Arabidopsis thaliana: one gene and its partners. The protein of the gene in region 3 interacts with the protein of the main gene of each other region in a pairwise test. Each region holds a gene or a part of one and is shown on either strand. Other genes may lie near its edges. The genes, in order: AMT1;2, LPAT2, RPK2 and AT4G27610.

What was found.
Region 1: the proteins of RPK2 (region 3) and AMT1;2 interact in a protein complementation assay, tested with the Arabidopsis thaliana proteins (one large-scale study listed by BioGRID).
Region 2: the proteins of RPK2 (region 3) and LPAT2 interact in a protein complementation assay, tested with the Arabidopsis thaliana proteins (one large-scale study listed by BioGRID).
Region 4: the proteins of RPK2 (region 3) and AT4G27610 interact in a protein complementation assay, tested with the Arabidopsis thaliana proteins (one large-scale study listed by BioGRID).

Annotation. Positions count from the first base shown.
Region 1 is NC_003070.9:24,060,105-24,064,562, forward strand, and holds AMT1;2 (ammonium transporter 1;2), read right to left. Parts: upstream 2,701-4,458; 5' UTR 2,462-2,700; coding exon 917-2,461; 3' UTR 536-916; downstream 1-535.
Region 2 is NC_003074.8:21,347,405-21,353,695, reverse strand, and holds LPAT2 (lysophosphatidyl acyltransferase 2), read right to left. Parts: upstream 4,314-6,291; 5' UTR 3,946-4,313; coding exon 3,868-3,945; intron 3,501-3,867; coding exon 3,378-3,500; intron 3,269-3,377; coding exon 3,229-3,268; intron 3,115-3,228; coding exon 3,041-3,114; intron 2,746-3,040; coding exon 2,686-2,745; intron 2,466-2,685; coding exon 2,388-2,465; intron 2,228-2,387; coding exon 2,069-2,227; intron 1,863-2,068; coding exon 1,737-1,862; intron 1,494-1,736; coding exon 1,401-1,493; intron 1,269-1,400; coding exon 1,182-1,268; intron 1,109-1,181; coding exon 857-1,108; 3' UTR 503-856; downstream 1-502. UniProt on the Arabidopsis thaliana protein: Converts lysophosphatidic acid (LPA) into phosphatidic acid by incorporating acyl moiety at the 2 position. Has preference for C-18-CoA substrates compared to C-16-CoA substrates. Required for female but not male gametophyte development.
Region 3 is NC_003074.8:378,665-385,095, reverse strand, and holds RPK2 (receptor-like protein kinase 2), read right to left. Parts: upstream 4,747-6,431; 5' UTR 4,371-4,746; coding exon 915-4,370; 3' UTR 514-914; downstream 1-513. Other genes in the region: AT3G02125 (pinin-like protein), read right to left, coding at 5,714-6,002, 6,113-6,431.
Region 4 is NC_003075.7:13,784,904-13,790,148, forward strand, and holds AT4G27610 (intracellular protein transporter), read right to left. Parts: upstream 3,613-5,245; 5' UTR 3,181-3,612; exon of another isoform or gene 2,471-3,180; 5' UTR 2,430-2,470; coding exon 2,246-2,429; intron 2,159-2,245; coding exon 2,054-2,158; intron 1,461-2,053; coding exon 745-1,460; 3' UTR 510-744; downstream 1-509. Other genes in the region: NARA5 (pfkB-like carbohydrate kinase family protein), read right to left, coding at 1-102; AT4G27620 (intracellular protein transporter), read right to left, coding at 4,156-4,844, 5,241-5,245.

The DNA of each region.
Region 1 (4,458 bases), on a different chromosome or scaffold from region 3:
ATAATGTCAAATAAAATTCTAAATAAAACAAACATCTAGGTGGGAGCTACTCAGATTTGTATGTAGTATATAAGATCAACTTTTAGTGGTGAATAAATGGGTGATGATAAAAAGAGAGGACGAGAAGACAAATGATAAAATTGAACGGTAATTTATGGCAAATGGGAAAAAGGATAAAGTACATACGAGGCTCCGGACCATCCGTTTTCTAAAGTAGTAATATACTAATATAAATATATTTATATTTTCATATTTAAAATATTAGTTATTCAGAAAATTTGACGACCAATCAACAGAAAAGAATCATTGAACCAATGGATACCATGGAACTAGCTAGAAGCCTAGAACCATAGGTTATGATATCAAATCCCGAATCATGGTTACGTATTATGTGGTTTGAACAACAACAAAAAAAAAGGTTACATAGTTTTGTGGTGATAACATAACCGATAAGTACCCAAGACAACTTTCTTATGATCAGTATGTGATAATTTGATAAGCTCGTCCACAAAAAAAAAACTCGTTTATAATAAAACTCGACAATTCTGATTAATTTCCGTTGGTGATTATTGATTAACATTCTAACGTTCATTTTATCAAAACAAAACATGCTATCGTACAAGATTTTTTTTTCCTCTCTTTTCTTAACATTTAAAATGTCTCAAGACCGCTCAAATTCCAATGTTTAATTTTGATACCAAACGTTCACTTTAATTAAAAAGACATACTGATCATGTTATTGTTAACAGTTCCACACTATCTGTCCACAACAGAGCGATAACCAAGAGAAAAAAAAAGAAGAAGAAGAAGACCAATAATACACAAAGATGCGTCCAACATGTTTGGTGCCCGAACTCTTGTCTTCACCACATTAAAACTGACTCGTTTGGGACCACTCAATTCTCCAATCAAAGTATCAAACAGTCAAGGTCGGTGTAGGAGTCGAGCTCCGGCTTGTAGGCTCCACTCTTCCAGCGAAATGACCCCATGGTTTAGTCGACACGTCGTCTTCGTCATTGTATGCGTAAGCAAATCCTCCATGACGTGTCATGTCCATTCCTGCCATCTCATCTTCTGCTGATATCCTCAAAAGATTCATCTTATGTAACCCATAAAACAACGGTCCCATAGTTACCGTCACCCACCCAACGATCACAATAATCTGAACGATCTGCGCGGCGAGCAGTTTTCCTCCCCCGCCCATGAACAGTCCGTAAGGCCTATCACCGGAGTAAATCTCGTTAACGTATTCTTTCCTTGCGAACAGCCCGGTAAAGATTAATCCCCATGCTCCACATCCACCGTGGAGCTGAGCAGCCTCGAGTGGGTCATCATATTTAAGTTTCTTGGCAAGCAAGTTAAATCCGATTAAAACCCATGATGCCACAAAGCCACATACTATAGCAGCCCACGGCTCCACCACGGCACATCCGGAGGTTATAGCTGCAAAGCCGCCTAGAAGTCCGTTGCATACGTCAATAACGTTCCAATGACCTGCTAAAAGCCGTTTACTGAATAGAGTAGTCAACGCAGCGGTGCAGCCAGAAAGCGTTGTGGTGACCGCGGTGCGACCTACAGCGCTCCATTGACCATAATATGGCCGAGACTTGTCGTAGCCTTTAAGAATGGTTAAAAAGGAACCAGGGTTAAACCCATACCATCCAAACCACAACAAGAAGGTACCAAGCACGACAAGGGATGCACTGTGACCACGTAAAGCCACGGACCGGCCTGACCGGTCAAATCTACCTATTCTTGGTCCTTCAACTAACGCTCCACATAAACCGGCAATTCCACCTACCATGTGAACAACTCCTGAACCTGCGAAATCAATAGCACCTGAGCCAAACAAGAGATTGTTGTCAGACCGGGACGCGCTAGCCCATCCATCACTTGACCAGAACCAGTGCGAGACTGTCGGGTAAACAAAACCGGTCAAGAAAGTAGAGTAGATAAGGTAAGCAACGAATTGCGTTCGCTCGGCGATGGAACCGCTAGTGATTCCGGCCGCGGCTATGGCAAAAGCCCATTGGTAGAGGAAAAAGCTGAAGTCGGAGCCGGGGCGTTCAGGGTAAGAGCTTAAAGCGAAGAAGCTATGGTGGCGACCGATGAATCCGTTGGAAGGTGTACCAAAGGCGAATGCGAATCCGAAGAGGTAGTAAGAGATGGCTCCAGCGGCAGCATCAAGGACATTGGTAAGCATGATGTTCATAGTGTTCTTGGCTCGGACTGATCCAGCACAAAGCATAGCGAAACCGAGCTGCATGGCAAAGACAAGGTAGGCGGAGAAGAGGAGATACGTGTTGTCGACGGCATAAGTTGTGTCGGAGAGTTTGTTGGAGATGTTTGAAATTTGGGAACATAAAAAGGTTGCCGCGGCGAGGGAAGATGTTGAGTTAGAAGAAGAGGATAGGAGGGCAGATAGATCTACGGCAGAGCATGTGGTGGTTGCGGTGTCCATGGTGGAGAGGGAGGGAGGGAGAGATAGAGAGAGGGTACTTGATTGTGGAACGTGTTTGCTTAAGTGAGTACTTGTGGTGAGAGTGTCTTTGGTGTATTTAAAGTGGAAAAAAGCATATTTATTTCGTTACATCACAAAAAGTTGCGGTACTACTTACTCTTCTTCTAGTTGAGGTTTTAAAAGAAGTTTTCTGAATTTTAAAATTCTAGGTCTCTGGTTTAAGTTTTTTTAAACAGTAGTAATCAAACTAAAATAAAATTAATAAATTTGTTTTGGTATAGTTTTGTTTTAGTTTCTATTCAGTTTTGAACATATTTAAAGTTAATTTTTTAAAGAAGATTTTTTTATTTTAATAAGATATTTAATCAGTTTTTGTGTGCAATTAATTTTGGTTATACGAATAAAAAAAGAAAAAAGAAAATTCTTATAATATTTCGTTTAGTGTTTGAATCGTTTATTTTAGTATGACAAGGAATCGGGTCAGCATTTGTTTATGAGAAACAATTAATTAAACATCGCTACATAGAAGTACGACATTAAAGAACAAGTTCAAGCATATGACGATATGATTCTTTTAAATGAATTTGTATGTCTATTTTTCCAACTCAATATTTTATATGAACTAGTTAATGTTCTTACAAAGGAGAAATAATTTATTTTTTTTGACGGCACGATTCAAAGGAGAAATAATTTGATTTCTTTTTTGGAATTAAAATAATTTGAAAAATGTAATTTTTCGTTTCGTTTGTATCGATGAAGTCAATAGTTGATAGATCATGAATGATGTATCATTTATATGAATGTGATATAGGGGGCAAGGACGATCACTCAAATAGTTATAAAATTATCACGCTAGATTAAATATAAAAATTATTTTCAACTTGACTACAACTACTTCACAACTGAATACGTAATTCGACTTGAATAATAGGCATTATTTGATGCTGTGTGATTTTTAGCGCCATTTATTTTTGTATTTTTAGTTAATCAAACAAATATGTTGTAATTTGAGGTACCGATTTCACATAGAATTTATATTGCACTACGTATTAGAGAATAAACTGTTAAAGCTACAAACTATATATAGGGTTCAATTTTGTGATTACAGGAAAAATATATATGCAACAAAGGAAAGATGAACAGATTCAATAGTAAAATCGTATTAGGTTTTCACGGAATCACAGTGATAGTAGGAAATCACGCAACAAAGAAAAAAACAAAATGAATGGACATATGAACAGTGAAAATGTTTTTATATTACGTTAAATGTTTTTAAAATGCGATTTATGAAAAAATGGGTAAAAATAAATGCGATTTATGAAAAAATGGGTAAAATTAGAGTGTTATCAGCAAGATCCGATCCAAAACCAATTGTTACTATGCAGGATAATGCGAGATGGGCATTCGAGTCAGGTTCTGATAAAATCCGATCGGGTACAGGTTTTTTTGGATAGAGAAGTTTAGGATCCAATAGAGTAATTCTAAAATATCGGTTTGATTTTGGTTCGGGTCCAATCGGGTTCGAATATAGATTTTCAGGCCTTTTTTGGAATCGATACCCAAATTTTCGAATAAATACCCGGATTTTCGGATTCGGGTCGAATTCGAATTCGGTTTTTTGGTAGAGAAATTTAAGACAAATAAGATAAATCTTCGAATTCGGATCTAATTTTTCGGGTCGGTTCCAGTTTGAGTAATCGGTTCCGGTTTTTTGCCGCCACTAAATTTGCTAGAGTCAAAATATGGTAAAAACTGCCGCAAAAGTGAACCGCTAACCACGTGATTAAATACACTTTTCTGGTAAACAATATAACTTTGACGGTCATTCAAATGCTGAAGGACGTGTTGCTCACTAGCATAGTTTATGTCATTCTACACAAGAAGATCTAGTCCTCGTAGCTTCCAAAAATTTTCTTTTCTACTCCTGGAAGATAATCGTTTCTTTTCATCCTTCAAACTTACCAAACGTTTATACGATTAACATAGGGTTTTGTCTC
Region 2 (6,291 bases), about 21 Mb from region 3:
AGTGTTTCAGCAAGAACGGAGACAATTAGGGTTTATCAATTGATACAAGTCGGGACTTTAATCGGAGTTTGAAAACAGAGAGAAAAGCGGCGCGAGCAACCGGACTTGTGAAGGTTTTTTTTTTCTTTTGAATCGGCGTGAAAGGGTTTTAGTTTTAGGGTTGAGAAAACTAAAATAAAAATTGTGTTTATTATATTATACACTCATTAAAAAAAAAAAAATGTGTTCTATCAAAAATGGAAGAAAATAAAACCTGTTCTTTTACGATATTCTCCCTGTAATCACCGTCATACTGTAGTTGAATTTGTCTAATCTCAGTTAATTCCATGAACGGGTTTCTGTTTTTTCTTCTCAAAATGAATTTTTTTTTGTCTAATCACAATTAAGTCCCAGTAGGATTAGTCTAGTCAGATAATTTATGTACATGAATAAATTCTGTTTTTTCTTCTAAAACGTCTTGTAATAACATGTTTTGTGCCTAATAAATTCTACACTAGCAATGAGAACCAAGGAACAAAACAGTTTAATAATAAAAGGAAAATGTCTAATATCAATCCCAAATTCCAATCTAAAAATAGAAAGTTATACAAGGCCTATGCACTTGAGAAAAAAAATCCCAAGGGACTATAGGGATTAAATCGTTGATTTGATCATGACCCTATACATCAATCGACTAAGAGACATAGGCTGCGTAGTAGTAGTAGTAGTAATATAGTAGCTGAACAAAACGGAGTTGATAATATTAAGGGATTTTTCATTTGGATGTCTTTTTTTTTTGGTTTTCTGTTTCTTATAACAAAACTGACACGCGCTTCTTCTTGTTGTGTTTGATGTTTGGATCTGTGAGAACCAGTTTTTACTTCTCCTTCTCCGTTTCTGTTTGGGAGGATGATTCTGGGTGGTGATTGTCTTTTGGCTTGGCTGGGACGACTTTGGCTGGGGTCGAACGCTCTGACTGAGACGAGCGTATCAGGATCTGCATACAGAGAGTGATGATACCTAGACCAAGCGCCGATATCGTGATACCTTTCCATGAAGAAAAGAGTTGTGCCCAGTGTAGGAACTTTATTGCTCCAAGAGTTAGTACGCATGCCCATGATAGAACCACCTGAGAAAAAGATCAAGAGATTTGTGAGTTTATAGATGGAACCAAGAGAATGTTATGAATTTTATAGACTCACCGCAAGGGACTTTATGGGACGGCCAATGTTCTGTTCTTGTTGACCGGGGAAAGTGTCTGCAGCTATGTGTTTGTCTAACAGAGCATCCTGTATCACAGAGACGAGATGAGAGAATACCAAAATGAAAGCTTTTCCAAGCTTTTCTCTATCAAATCTTGACCAAATATATTATTGCCAATAACTGAAACGTGGAAATACCAGTACATCCATAATTTTTACCTTAGCCACAAACTGATCTCTGCACCACTGTGCAATTGCGTCATCTGATTCAGGTAAGTCTTTCATCGAGTGACACTTGATGTGAACATGCACCTTGAAACCAGCAGCAATGGTTTGCGTTAATGGCGCAGGAGGTTTTAAAAGAAAAAGGCTTGGGATGGGATGAGTCCTACGGTTTCTTACACATTATAAAAGTAAAGGTGATATAAAGAGTTATGTTCGTTTCAGTAAATTGGATGGTGATGTGATCCAAGCCAGTGCATACTTTGAAATTTGTTGTGAGAAGAGTGCAAGATTCAACTGCTATACGACCTATTCATATTTTTGCTTGCTTACCACTGAAGGTTGTCCTTTGAATAGTCTTAGCATCGTGGGTGGTGGAGAGGTTTTTGGAATAGTCACTGTCATATCATAAATTGCTGGGACAAATGAACGCATATTACTAACAGCTGACACGAAACCCTGAAACAAAAATACAAGCAAGTCTAGTAATTAGGGCAGAAATCACAATAACAACCACCAAGTCGATCTGATGAAAATGAAACGTATAAAGGCTACCCATGCATTGAGATTTTGGATCATCATAGCAATCATTTTGCTTTTTAAAGGACACAGAGAAGATATCAAGTTGCCCCAGGAATGAACAAAAGAAAAATATTACAACTTACTTTGGTGCGAGGAATCAACACATTTCGAGGGATAGGCAATTCAGAGGAGGCTGCATACTCTTGTGCGGCTTTAAGTTTGGCTTCTGTAAAGCGAGTTCCCTCCACAAAAAGGGCTAACCAGAAAGGTCGAGGGAAGTCGCTCAAGCGCTGAAGACCTGACTGTAAATTTAGACAAACACACATAACTCATGGTCTGGAAATGAAGATTCTGCATTTTTAGGCTAATCCCCTCATGAACGAGGTAGCTGCACGTGCTAATAAGCATTTTACACAGGAGCAAAAACTAAATGAGTTGCACAAGGATACTATAAACCCATACCTTTAGAGTGCTTTCATCCTTGGCCCAATTTCTTTCCAGAAAGAGATACTCCGAGAACCACATTGACCAGCCTATGACCTGTATGTGTGTGAAAATTCTGTTTATGAGTACTATGAATATGTAACAGATAAAAAAGGCGGAGAAGTGTATTAACCTAAAACAATGATTTTTTCTCAAACGCAAAGCCAGGTATCAAATTTCTAACTTATAGAAGAGATTCAGAAATAGAATTAAAGATTACTACTATTTTCTCTCAAATCTAGCAAGCACACAGCAGTAAGCTAAAATATTCACATACTGGAAGGAATTTGGAAGACTTCTTCATTACAGCTAATGCGCTTCCCAGGCAACCTGACCGCTGCAAGGAAAGAAAATATGAAACAATAGATTAAAAGATGTAAACAGCATAACAGGGAGCGTGTTAAGAGAAAATATGATGATGCTATACTCTCTCATATCTCATCAGATGATCACTAGGGACTGTCACCTTCTACCTAAGATAATCTTTCTTAAGTAGATACTTGGAAGCAATACATGGTCCCATTGCAAGTATACATGCTTTCTCATCAAGAAGTCTATTATGTTGATCTCCATTTATGCATTCAAACAAAAACGTAGGAAGATAGATGAAACTGTGAGGTGAAATTATGTACCTGAGCCAGAATCCATCCCACAAGCCAATCAATATCACTTCGGTGATTACAAACGACAAGAGCATGTTCTTTGCCTAGAAAAAAATAGTAGGACAGTCAATGAAGTTACAGATTCGTTCTTACATAGGAATTTTATATCTTGAAGACATCAGAAACTGATTTGATTGCCAATAAGCATATGAACTTACCCATTCGATTGAAGGTCTCATTATCAGCAAACACTTGGATCTAAGGGAAAAGAAACAAGAAATTTGAGAGGAACTCATAGAGTTAGATAAGATAAAACAAAATCCAAGCTTAACAACCATTTAGTAAAAAGGAGAAAGCTTGTGGATACCTTAACTCCAGCCCACCAGTCAACTATCCATACAAGCTCCAACCACAAGGTTTCTGCAACCACCCGGTTAATTTTTCTGTATGTGTTCTTAGACAGTGGTCGAATGAGTACATAGCAAACTGCCTGAAACAACAATATGTAGTAGTAAACATCAAAACTGAAGCAAACGAAGTTGAGAGAAAAAAAGATTCCTTCCTCGATTCAATCAACATAGAAATCAAGATAAATCTGAAGAAAGTGATACTTAATCGCAGAATCAAACAACACTCTATAGCTCAGTGCATGAGCTCCACGAGTCAATTTCGAGCTTATACTCTCATATGCACACTCAGAATTAAGACACAATCACCGACAAAAACGAAAGAATCAAAGTTTCTGGAGAAGGAAACCCTAAAAGCAGTGAATCAAAACAAAAGAAGAAAGGATCTACAATGTAGAACAACAACGGAATCTAAAAAGAGTAACACCAGAAACGAATCAGAAACCAAACCTGAAAGAGATTGACAGCGAGACCAGATATGAAGAAGAGAAGGCCCAAAGGCACGATGACAGCTGCAGCAATCACCATCCTCAAAAAATCCCACCAACAAAAGCTAATGTGAGGAGAGAGTACAAAGAAGAAAACCCAACAAATCGTTCCCCGAGATTTCCAGAAACCAATGAAGAAATATTTTACCCCAGATTTCAAGACAAGTTGCAGAAGTTTTTTAAAAGGGGAAAATAAATAACCCAACCAGAAAAAAAGAGAAAAAAAATCGCAAAATTAACTTTGCGATTTAATGGGAAAATTTTGAGAAGAGTGTTTGTAACTCTGGATTTTTATTGATTGATTGATTATATACGGAGATGATCACGAGGACACATTCGAACACGGCAGAAGCGTTTTTTCTTGTTATTTTGATTTTAGCCCCTCTATTTGTTTTCATACTTCAAAACATCTCCTATCTCTTCGACTTGGTTGGATTGGCCAACTTTGAAGTTTTGAACTATGCAATCAATGGGCAAGGAAAAAAAAAACGTCTGTCGGAAATTGATCGGTATACACTACCAAGATGTGATTACTCCTAATTTTTTAAGTTAGGATTAATTCCCTTTGCATGTGGTAAAAAGTGCTAGCTGGACTTTCCAATTAATTATAATGTTTGTATGGTAAGCTTATATATGGAAATGTAACGTCCAAATATTTCAAATCAACAGATTTATTTCAGGTGAATCCAAAAAAATTGTTACATAATTCTTAACACTCATAGACGACCACCAAAATGGTTTTACTTTTACCAATAAAATGGCCTAGTGGCGGATCTTAGAACCTTAAAGAGAATGTAATTGGAGAAAGGATTAATGTGTTACCCATACCGCTTAATATATATCCTTATTAGTCTGATATGCTACTTGTCACTAACATCGAATCCTTTGTTCATGTCTGGCCCTAGTCTGAAGGTGACTAATATACTAATATTACCGTGGATGTTTAAGTGCTCCACTTTGTTCCATATGTTTTCAATTTTTCCGTTCAATTCTTCCTCTTTTTGCTATTCTCTAGCCGATGCCTTTTGTTTTTTTGCTTGTAAATTAAAGCATGACGTCTTTGTGATTCTATTCACATGGTTTGGTATGGTTCTGATTGTTTATGTGCGGTGTAAAGTATGAGAGTCTTTCATGGTTTGTATAAATATAAACTAAATGATATTTAAGTGCACGTTTGATTCTTTAGTATTCTAATATCGAAATTTCATTTCAGTAAAGTTCAAACATTTTTTAATTTTTTTGTTATTAAATATTTGAAGTTACAAAAGTATTGTTGAAGTGGTTGATCTATCTAACCAAATTTTCTTTAAATATAATGAAGAATCAAAACAAACTAAAGAACAAGTTCATCATCTAGTTATTTTCAGCTGTACTATGCTCACCGCTTTATTCAGATTCTCCAATAAATTTTGCAGCAAAGTGGAAAAGATAACAAAAAAAACAAATAAGGGTTGTTGAGTTTTTAGTTACAATTTTCCCTACGTAAGATCATTTGCCTTAATTCACGTAACATAGCCACATGCTATCATTTCTATGTGATTGTACATATTCATAACAAATAGTTGACTGCCAGACAAAATATGTTAGAAACGTATGCATACACCTTTTTTCTTTTTACAACAATATATATGCATACACTTGACGCATCCTTAAACATATTATGATTTTTCTTTCTTTTTGTCAATGTGGACTAAATTATCCAATTTGAAAAAGAACAATGGGAATCGAACCTGAAATACTGAGGCGCCAACATTTTTACTTATAATTTTAAAAATGATTTATGTAAAACATTGCTTGTAAGTTTTAACTATAGTCTCAAAATGACACCAGAAATTATAGTTAGTAATTGCTCTGTTTTTAATTACTTTTTTCTCGGTTAGAGACTAAATCACTTATTTTGCAGATATTTTTTTGCATTGTATAACCAAACAAAAAATTTAGTTTTGTTCTAGTCTCCTAAATTGTAGCAAAGAACCAGTGGAACAATGACAAACAAAAAAAAAACAGAGAAAGCCTTAGCTTCCTAACTAGTTTTCAGGTGATGTAGAAAGAACTATGAAATTAGTCCGCAAGTCTTGTTGTGAGCTTTTTCTTGGAAGGACGACTTTGTGGGATATTCAACAACGACAGCTTGACTTTATATCTTAGCTAGTGTTCTTCGTTTTGATCAACTGAGAGTGTGTGAGGTCTTCAAGTTTTGTCATTTTATTTTTCAAAGTTAAGTGTTTCTCGATTAGTTGAGGAATAAGATATCAAGAGCTAGAGGGGGGAGATGCTGTTAGAAGATCTCATCGAACGTTGCAATGAATATAACTGAGGAGATTGCAACTGCTTTAGCTTATTTTCACACTGTTTTCCAATTCTCAAACCCTATTTCGATCTCTAA
Region 3 (6,431 bases):
GTAAGAGAACTAAGTTTTCTCTCTAAGTCTAATTGTGGATCGTCAGGACTGCTTTGTAACTAATGCGATAAGTGAGCCAAGAAGGGGGCTATATATGATTGATAACGGTGATCTTTCGTAACACACTAATGGCTATAAGCTCTAATTTCCATTCTTCAAATGAAACCGTTAGCCTCAACGAACGGATGTTTCACAAATGTTGAGCCAATGGATGGATATACTCGTCTTTATTATCGAGCAATACGCTTGGCGTTAACTATTCATGGAAGTAGCATGTAGTAGCGAGAGTCGCTCTATTTGATACTAGATACATAGAAGAACCTTTCACATCGCTGTCTTTCAAGAAGGATGAAGATGCCAACTCAACCAAAGCAAGCCAGACCACTACCGAAGAAGATCGACAATCATGAATCAAGACCCAATGATGTACCATTCAAACCCAAATGGGTGGAATTGCTTTCTTATGGGGATTATACTGATAGCATTGTCGGTCTTCTAAGTTAATATTGGGCTCATAGCCCGAGTTTTTTTATTCGCATATATTATTGGGCCCATAGCCCAAGTTTCTCAAAATGGAAATGTCAATCAAACAAAAAGGATCGGCAGTTTAAACATACTAAAAATCGAAAAAGAAAGAAAAACTCCCACAAAACTTTAGTATAAAACAATTTACAAGTGGGAGAAACAAATTAGCTACAAACAATTCTTTCTCATTTTATGGTTTTCTGCTTACTGAGAGAGATCAACCTTCCTATGGCTTCCCCTTTCAAATGTCCTTTTTACCCTCGAGAGAACCCATAGGAAATTCAACCTCTCTTTCTTCTTCTAACAACTACTACGTACACATACAAGTTTACAACTGAGAGAACTTTTTTTAAAGAAAGAATAATAATCAAATCCTGCGGAGGGAGGTGCTAACACGACGGAGGTTGTAGCTGCTTCAACCGTCTTACAACTTGCTTCATCGTCGGCCTCGTCGACAGAGAATCCACCGTACAAACAACCGCTAAATGCAGAACCTCTACTAGATCATCATGCGGACCTGCGTCCCACAATCCCGCTGTGAAAAACTCCTTTGCCCTTCCTTGTCTCAACAACATACAAGCCCATTGCACTATGTTGAAACCATTACCATACGACACAAATGACGGATCAAGTGCTTTCTTGTCCGAAAGCAGCTCTAGAAGCACCACTCCGTAGCTGTATACATCTGCTTTGTCTGATACCCTGCATGTCATTGCGTACTCGGGAGCTACATACCCAAACGTACCCGCCACACCAGTTGTTGCGTGCGTTTCCGATGTCCCAAGCAATCTCGCTAACCCGAAATCTGATAAATACGCATTGCAGTCATCATCTAGGAGGATGTTACTCGGTTTAACATCTCGGTGAAGCACCCGTGGGACGCATTGGTCGTGGAGGTAAGCGAGTGCTCGAGCTATGTCCAGAGCGATCTTATGAAGAACTCTCCAATCTCTTGTGGATCTTTCTTGGATGAATTTCTCGAGGTTGCCTCCTGGGAGATAGTTGTACACCAAGAACATCTCAGTTTCGCTAGCGTGGTAACCGATGAGAGTCACGAGGTTCGGGTGTCGAAGTCTACCAAGAGTTTTGATTTCTGCGTGGAACTGTTGGACTCCCTGAAACCGTCCGATCGAGAGGCGTTTGATTGCGACAACCACATCTTGAGAGATTTCTGCTTTGTAGGTCGCTCCAAATCCACCATTTCCAATCAGATTGCTTGCGTTGAAGTTTCCTGTGGCTCTAACCACGTTGTCAAAGGTTATTGGAACTCCGATATCCATGAACATAGTGACTTCTCGTTTTGTAGTGGCCATGATCTTCGATTTCGGATGCCATTTCCTTGTGTAGAAGAAGAGAATTACAAGAGCAATTAGTACCGAGACAATCGCTGAAGCTGATGCGATTGAGGCGATCTCTAGCGAGTTGAATCCACCCTTTCCTGGCGACTGAGATGGAGCGTTTTCAACAGGCGAAGATGCGTAATCCTGCGTGATAGAATCACCCGTGGAGTCTCGGGAATCCGAAGACGGTGTTGTCAGAGAAAACACATGGCAAGGTCGAAGATAGGGGTTTCCACTAACAGTGCTGCATTTCGTCAGTCCATTGGTTGAAGGAACTGGACCAGACAGATTGTTGGAGGAAACATTGAAAACAGCAAATGTCGCAAAACCCGACGGGATTGGGCCAGAGAGGTTGTTATTGTTGAGAAGCAGGACAGTGAGATTCTTCAAGTTTACGAAATCATGAGGAATACCGCCAGATAGATGATTTGAAGAGAGATCAAGAACATCCAAGGAATGTAACTGACCAAAGCTCTGAGGAATTTGCCCCGTGAGGTTGTTATTCGCAATCGAAAGATATGTCAAAGCTGCCATCTTCTTCCCGAGGCTACCCGGTATCTGACCTTGCAACTGATTCCAGCTCAGATTAAGAGCAACAAGTGAAGCTAGATCCCCGAGACTTGTTGGGATTGGCCCGAAGATCTGATTCACCGAGGCATCAAGAATCTTAAGAGAAGTGCACATGTTGTTTAGTCCCTGAGGAATCCGACCTGAGAGCTTGTTGAAGCTTACATTGACATAAACAGCTTTGAGTTCGTCGCAGTTATCAAACAGATTTCCCGGAAATTGCCCGTACAACCGATTCCCTCCAGCAGAAAATATGTAAGAGACTCGCTTTCCCAACCGCTCCTGTGCAAGTGGTATAGACTTGAGAGTACCAGTGAAGTTGTTGTCTGCAAAATTATGAAACACGGCCGGACCTCCATCACTTCCAAGATCTATCAGGGAAGTTCCAACTTGAGCCTTCTCGGTAAAGAAGGAGAGATAAACAGACGACGGGTCGCTGTAAGATTCAATAGAAAACCTGTCAAAGTAAACAACAGGAGGACAATGGCTTGTGGTATTGTTGAGAAAATCAGGGATTACACCCGATAAGCTGTTTCCACCAACATCAAAAACACTCATGCATGGGACCGAAATCTCTTTGAGAAGCTCCCCAGTAAGCCTATTCGAGCTCAAATCAAGAAGACGAAGGTTCTTGCATTTACTAAGACCGACAGGAATTTCGCCTTTAAAGAAGTTCTGACCCAAATTAACCATCTCCAAGTTTTGACATGAACCCCAATCTCCTGGAAATCTACCTTCTAACGTAGCTCTGGGCACCCAAAGTATCTTTAGTTTCGGAAGCCTAGTGATTTCCTCCGGGATTCCTCCTTGATAGAAATTGAAATCCTCGGTCATCGAGGTTAAATCAGCGCCTGGAGGAAGATCAGCTTCCCCTCTTACACTATTAATGTCTTCATACACATTGTACAGATTTGATAGAACGAGAACAGACAACGAAGAGCAATTTCCAAGTTCAACAGGTAATGGACCACTAAGAGTGTTCCTAGAAACATCCAAAACCTCAAGCTTCTGAAGACTCCCAAATTCTAAAGGGATAGTCTCCTCCAACGTATTCATATACAACAACAACGACCTTAAACCAGCACATTTCCCCAAACTCTCTGGAATCCTCCCAGTCAAGAAATTACCAGACAAATCTAAATGCTCAAGCTTTCCACAGCTATCCCCAATATCTTTAGGCAAAGAGCCTTGAAGCCAGTTTAACGGCAAATGCAACACTCTGAATCTCCCAACAAAACCAGGAACAGTTCCATTCAACTTATTACCACCCAAATTCAAAATCTCCAACTTTGTCAGATTCTGCAGCGAATTAGGGATTTCACCTGAAACTCTGTTAAACCCCAAATTCATAACCCGCAAATTCCGTAACCCAGTAAACTGATCCGGCAATGACCCCGTCATCAAATTCCCTTCCAGATCAAGAACTTCAAGCTTCTCCATTCCCCAGATTCCTACAGGAATCTCTCCACTAAACGAATTAAAAGGCAGAGACAAAACCCTAAGTCCTGTGAGACTCATGATTACAGAAGGCAAATTCCCCGCCAAAGCTCCATGATTTCCGGTACAATCCCTCCGAACACCAAACCCATACAACGGAAACTTACCAATATCACCACAAGTGAAACGATTTCGACTAATTTCAGAACTTCCAGAGCCACTAATGTTAAGAGCCATGACTCGAGAGCTCGAATCGCAAGATACACCAAACCAGGAGCAGTAATCTTCACTCTCTTCGACCCAGCTAGCTAGAATCGAACCAGGGTCCGATACCGTTTTCTTAAACCGAAGCAACACGGATTTGTCCGAATCAGCTAAAACAGTGATTTTTCCGGCGAGACAGGAGGCGAAACAGAGTAAGCAGAGCGAGAAGACAACGTCTGAAGGCATCTGTCTGCGGAAAAAACGCCATTTGATCACTGAAGAAGGCAAAGAAGTCATCTTCGTAACTTATCCCCAAAAATGTTTTTACAACAAAACCCTAAACCCACCTCGCAAGGTCTGCTAATATAGCAATTGACGAGCAAAAGATCCTTCCTTTTACCGTGCGAAACAATCCCAAGCTCGACCCTTTAACCCTAATTTAGGGAGATGATGAGAAGCTTTGTAGTGAGAGAAACTGATGAAGCAGAGAGAGAAAGAGATGAGAGAATTCAACACTGTCACTGAGGAAGACGCGTTTTTTTCTTCTCTCTCTCTTTTTTTTTTTTTTTGATAAAAGATCTTAAAAATGTTTTTAATTTAATTTATGCAGAAAAAAATAAAAAATCGTTCTGTGAATGAGAGAGTGGGTCCACTTTCCTTATTTCCTATTGGCTAACAAACTCTTTAGTGTAATTTTAACTTGGAAGAAGCAATTTTTGATTATTTATCGATCATGTAGTGAAGTTAACATTAAAAGTTTTTAACATCGATCATTGTAGTCTCACCACATCAAATCGCAATAGGTACATGATTGATAACAGTAGGTAGATGCAAGATTATCTTATCACTAAATTTGAGGACAGATTATTTTAAATTTTTTGTTTATTCGAAGTGATGAAATAAAATATGTTGAGTCACAATAAATGTAACAATATTTCAACTCTCCTAGACGTATCAATCTCTCATCGACCAATGTTATGCTAAGATCTTGAAGCTAACATTTATTACAGATAGATATATGTATATGGACATGCATTATATTAGGAAAATTTCATAATCTCACGCTAAAAGAAAAATCGCCTGCCACTATACATAAATGCATGTGACAAAGATGTGTTTCTTTATAACAAAAATATTGAGAAATTGTAAAGTGAAAAAGGGACAGAATCGCCTCTTTTCAAGGATATAACTAAAGGAAGCTTCAAGATAAAGCAAATTAAAATGTTTTTTCTTAAATATAAATTTATAATTTTGTCATGTACACAACACATTAGCCACATTTATGGGGATAAAAAGACTGAGTTTATAACCTTTTCAATTAGAAGAAAAAAAGGTTTGTTTTTCTTTTAGTGAAATATATCTGTCTTTTAGCTACTACTTATAATAATGATACGTATTGAAATAAAGTAATAATGAAATGTGGTCCTTGTATGTATGCATCACCATGACATAAGAGTTATATCATCCATCAACCGGTTTACAACATCCGGTAACCGAAATTAATCGAACCAAAATATGGTGTTAATCCTGAAAACCAGAACTCGGTTTGGATCATCACTCTTGGTTTACAACTATTTTCATCCGTACAATTTACACATAAGAAGAGGAATCGCTTCAAACGCAAACGCTAAAAGTCTCCTCTACTTGAATGAACCGCATTTTGAAGGACAATGGAAGCAAGAGAACCAGCAGGTTCTTGAAGCTTTTAGCGATTGCGTTCGAGACTCGAATTTTTTTGATGCCTTCCTTTGTGGTTGTGGTTCCGGCTGAGACTCAGTTAGCATATTAGATTCTGAATAAGGTTGTAGTTGTTGTTGTGGCTGTAGCATTCGCGATTGAGGCAGCTGATACTCGGGTCTTCGCTTGTGGGAAACGTTTCCTTTGATTTGCATAGACGGCGTTTTGGTAACTGCATCTTCTTTTTGCAATCTGTTACATAAATTCCAAAGAAAGTAAAATTAGGGTTTTAAAGTTTCTTCTTGCTCAAGAAATCATCAAAAATGGATCGATAAATTGAGATTTTGAAGAGAACGACTTACAGTGGGAATGCGAAAGAACCAATGCTGTTATTGCTAGTGTCCGAACGACAAGAAATGCTCGGAGAATGTGAAACTATACTGTTCGAGTCTTCAGGTTTATTCTCCTTCACAGTTTCTATTACTTCTTTCTCTACTAAAGCCTCCGCTTCGATCATATCTGTTTGTTCTTCTTCATGTTCGTCGTCGCTCTCGACTTCACTCATCTTCTCTTCTTCTTCATTATCCTCAATATCTGAGTTTGAGTTCTCCACCTGGTATGGTTCCTTCTCTGCAATCGTCTCTTTCTCATATTCATTTGGTTTCTTAACCGGAGGTGGAA
Region 4 (5,245 bases), on a different chromosome or scaffold from region 3:
GGAGAGAGAGGAGGAGGAAGCATTATTAGAAGCGGTAATGGCGGAGAGAGTGAAAAAAAGAGAGGCAGAGGTAGGAATTGGAGAGAGGAGGGAGAACGCCATGGAATTAGATAGTTTTGCTCTTTGAATGAAGAAAGCTCACATCTCCATTCAAAAGCGAGAGGAGCAAGGAAGACCAGCAAAACCCGAGAGACGGCCTCTGAGAGGATAAAGTATGACTTTGACTTTATATGTTTATTTATATAAATCTTATTAGGATAAAACTCTATTTCTTATTTATATTCAAACCCAAAATTTCAGAATAAGCATAATTGCTAACAATTTTATTTTAACTGTATCTTAAAAATAATAATGTATGTTGCGTCTATTTATAAATTTAAAATTTGTTTATACTATTTATCATTTGTGTTAAAATTGGCTAATTCTTCTAGTGAACACATCCTTATACGTGGCGTTTGTAATTATCGGGTTAGTTACCAATTACGGAGAATAAAAAAAAAAAAAAAGTAGAGAGCTATTCCCGCGGTAAATTCTTCAACAACTATCTATTTACCTTTACACCAAATGTTGAAAGAAAAAACAGAATCAAGACATTCAAAAACGAAAGCAGAAAGCCAGAAAGAACCTGAAAATCTTGATCTCCACCGTTCTTAGTACATACTAAGATTCATTTTCTCGAAAAAGGAAAAAGAACCGAAAAAAAAAATAAGAGACGCAAGTATGCACAATGCCTAACCTTTCCACCTACAATAAGTTTTGGAGCTGTGAGTCCAGTCTCTGCTGCAACTCTTTTACCTTCTGCGAAAGCTCAATCTTCTGCTCCTTATAGCTTCTAAGTAGATACTCTTTCCCATCTATCACTTCTTTAAGCTCACTCACTTCCTTTCTCAACATCTCTACTCTTTCTCCATCCCTTAGGCTCTTTTCTTGTGACTCATAATTGCTTTCGCTGTCCATAAACCCGCCATTCCAAGGTCCAACCGGAGATGTCTTGCCATTGCTGTCCGCGCCACATCCCACGCTGTGATCAGCAATTGCCTTTCTCAGTCTTTGAACTTCTCTTTCTGATTCAAACAGATCTCTGTTCAGTGTGTCTAGCTGTGCCTGGAGATGGCTTGAGTGTGCCGTCTGTGCGTTATACGAGTTTTGCAGCTCTAGAATCTGTTCTTGCATTTCCTGTATCATGTCATCCCGTCTCTTCAGCTGCTGCCTTAGTTTCTGTATTACTTCTCGTTTGCTGAAAATGTCTGAGCTGGTTTCAGATACGCAAGGAGAATCTGAGCAGTTTGAATTGTGATTGTATGGTCTTGGGGGAAGTTCCAGGCGATCAGGAGAAGTTGCCCACATGACTCCATTCTCTTTGCTCGATGGAGCAGGAACTGTCACAAGAGGCAGTGAAGTGTCAGATGCGGATATCATTTGCTCGCTTGTCACCTCTTTTCCTTCCACACTCTCAGTTCCTATAAAAATAAAGAAGCAAAGGCTGATAAGATCCATACACGACTGTTTGCTCTGGACTACATGAATATTAGGATTCAGAGATTTTCCAAAGAGAAAACATAACTCAGGTCTGGATCTAATAGTACAAAACTTGTAACTATGCTTAACGAGGTCTTGGTAGATAACAAAACTAGTAACTGTTTTTAGCATTCAGCCACTAGACACAGCCATCAATGGAGAAAACCTGCTTCCCTAGTTGCCAGCCCAATTGATGCAAATTAATGGTAATATGCCACAACGAAACAAGAGATATTCGATTCAACCAGTTATTGCAAGGTGGCAAATCTTGTAACTATTTTACTCATTCCATAACTTCGAATTGGATTCCCCTAGTTGACAAATACATCATGAGGTAAGATAACAGAGGCTAGAACTCTATAACAACATCTACACATTCTCCCAACTAGATTTTACTATATATCACACATCGTTTTAACTTCATGAAAGGAAACCCAGTAAGACATGATGCGAGACCAAGAAACAAGCATATAGCGTTTGTTTAGTAGATTGAACAAATATGTATGAGGCAAAACAGAAAGTTACAAAGTCACACCTGGAATGGAGCGGAAGCAACAAAAATCATTATTTTGTGTACAGGAAGATGTGGTAGAGTGTAAGCAACAGCTTGTAGATTTTTGCCTCTCAGATGTTCCATTAGCTGCACAAGAGGCTTTCATTTAGTGATAGAAAAAAACTAGAACCAAATTATAAAACATGTTAAGCAACACAGCGATAAAGTAAGTACGTTTTAATCCAGCAGAGCCATTTGATTGAGGTTTCGAATCAAGCGACTGCTTTAGCTTGTATCCAAAGCGAATGGACAATGTGCTCAACAATGCACCCCCTGCAATTAGTATCCAGTTTGGCCCTTCACCACAAAATTTATCACCTCGCTGATGCTTGGAAATGCCATTTCTTCGTGTACTCATTGTATGAGAAAGTCAAAATGTATCTATCATCCAAACATAACCTACATTGAACGGATACAAGAATCAATCATCATCAACGATCAGAATGAATTGGGCATATGTCAACAAGAAACCTGGTGTCAACTCAATAAAATCAACAAATATACAATTTTAAAATCATCAAATGCTTAATACCCAGAAAGATTCCAGAAACTAGAATATGAAAAGATAATGAGCACAAAGAATCACGTTTTGAGCATTACCTCAAACACAGTCAACCAGAGAAGGAAAAACAAAAAAAAGATCTAAAATGATAGTAACACTGAAAAGAGAAAGACAAAAAAAAAAATGGAAGATTCTCTAAGTCAAACATTCTCAGTTGAGAAAGTATACGACGAATCCATGGAATCATATAGGAGCACAGACTCTACCTCAAAAAAAGCAAATGCAAGAAAAATGGAGTTCCCTGAAAGAGTAATCGAAACGTTGATGCCATGGGATTTAGATTCTAAAACTACAAAAGCAAGAAGAAGAGATAGATACTTGCCTTGAACATGAAGCGAAATGAAAATAATAACAACCCTTATTTTTTTCGATAGGGGCCGTTAATCGATATCCCAACAACCCTTAATGAACACAACAATCGCAATCAGAAGGAGAATAAGGAATTACATAAATCCGAGCTCGAAAATAGATTTTCCGACGAATCAAAAATCAGTGAGCGAGCGAAGCACCCAAAAACAGGGAGAGTATAAAGGACTCTTTAAAAAACCTCATAGACAGCAGAAAATGGGCATTAGGGCTCCATAGTTTCCCTCCCGAGCCAGAAAATTTCTCCCGCTTGAGTTTCAATGTTTGATGGGTGGTCCTTGCAGCTTCGAGAATCGAAAAAAATCGCTGAGAGAGAAATACGATTCCGTGAAGAATCGCAGAGTCTCCGACGATGATATGACTGTAAAACCCCCGGGGAGGAGAGAGAGAAGCAAAGTGGAGGGGAAGAGGTTGAAGAGAGACGGCGCCTCACAGTTACAGCTCCGTTGTTGTTTTTTCCTTCCACTGTTAATTCATTTATTAAAATAAAATCACGCACGCGTCAACCACGTCCCATGGATGACGCTCACGGTGGTTAACAAACTCAGCTCATATGTTTTTTTCTTCTTTCTTTTCTTCTTTACGATTTCAATTTTTTAGTAATGAAATTTAATAGATAATTTGAGTATGAATGAACATTTGACATCTTTATCCATGTGTAAATGTTTGCACTTTCTGTTGATTATTTTTTTTTTTCTATTTTAAGTCACTACCAGCTAATGTGATGATACATTTTTCTTTTGTCTTCTTCACTATGTGACAACTACAAAATTAAATATTTGGTCCTTCCTTCTCTAACGATTTTCTTCCTTATGAATATCAAAACCTGACTGAAATAAGTGCCAAATTAAATTTTAGCAACCCTTCTTTCTCTTTCCTTAAGAACAAGTAACCAACTTTCTTGTAAAAAACTTCAACTGCAATTCTACAATTTAAGCCTTGAGACACGATATTGTATGAGTTTGCAACTTTCGAATATCCACTTCACCAAGAGAAAAAAACAATTTGGATAAAATCATAATTGACACCCAAAACAATGTAGTCAGTTGATAAGTTTCCCCGGAGAAATTGAGATATTTTTGAACAAAGATTCATATTTTTTACTCGGGGAAACAAAAGAGAGTGGTAAGAATGCACAATGCCTAACCTTCTTCACCTACAAAATGTTTGGGAGCTGCGAGTCCAGTCTCTGCTGCAACTCTTTTACCTTCTGCAAAAGCTCTGTTTTCTGCTCCTTATAGCTCCTAAGTAGATACTCTTTCCCATCTATCACTTCTTTAAGCTCACCCACTTCTTTTCTCAACATCTCTATTCTTTCTCCATCCCTTATTCCATTTTCTGGTGACTCGTAGTTGTTTTCGCTGTTCACATCGCCACTCCAACCATTGCTACCTGTGTGTCCCACGCAGTGATCAGCGATTGCCTTTCTCAGTCTCTGGACTTCTCTTTCTGATTCAAACAGGTCCCTGTTTGTTGCGTCTAGCTGTGTTTGGATATGGCTAGAGTGTCCCATCTGGGCGTTTAGCGAGTTTTGCAGCTCTAGAATCTGTTCCTGCATTTCAACTATCATGTCGTCACGTCTCTTCAGCTGTTGCCTCAGTTTCTGTATTACTTCTCGCTTGCTGAAGATGTCTGAGCCGGATTCAGATACGCAAGGAGAATCTGAGCAGGTCGAATGTTGATGGTATGCTTTCATCGGCACTTCCAGGTGGTCAGGAGAAGATCCCCATACGACTGCACTCTCTTTGCTATATGATGAAGCAGGAACTGTCACAAGAGGCAGAGAAGTACTGGACTCTGCCATTTGCTCATTTGTAGCATGATTTCCTTCCCCATTCTCAGTTCCTGCATAAATGAAAATAAGAAGCCAACTCTCAGAACACCCACACAAAACTTTTCTGCCATAACACAAGCCATCATTGGGGGATAATACTACAGCCTTCATAGTTTCCAGCTCATTAACGTAAGTAGCTACTTAAGTATGAATCCTGATTGGGGTACAAAGACATCTTTAGTCAAATATTGTTCCTGATTGGGTTACAAAGATCATTATGCAAGATACTAGAGGCTACAAATATGTAAGAACCATCTCCATATTCTTTCAACTATTTGACAACATCTCCCAAAATCTCTTTTCACTTCAAAGATACCACAAAATCAAACCCCAGTAAGAGACTATGTGAAGTGAAGTTATGTATAAGCAAATTCAGTAGTAAGAATAACAAACTCACAAACTCTCACCGGGA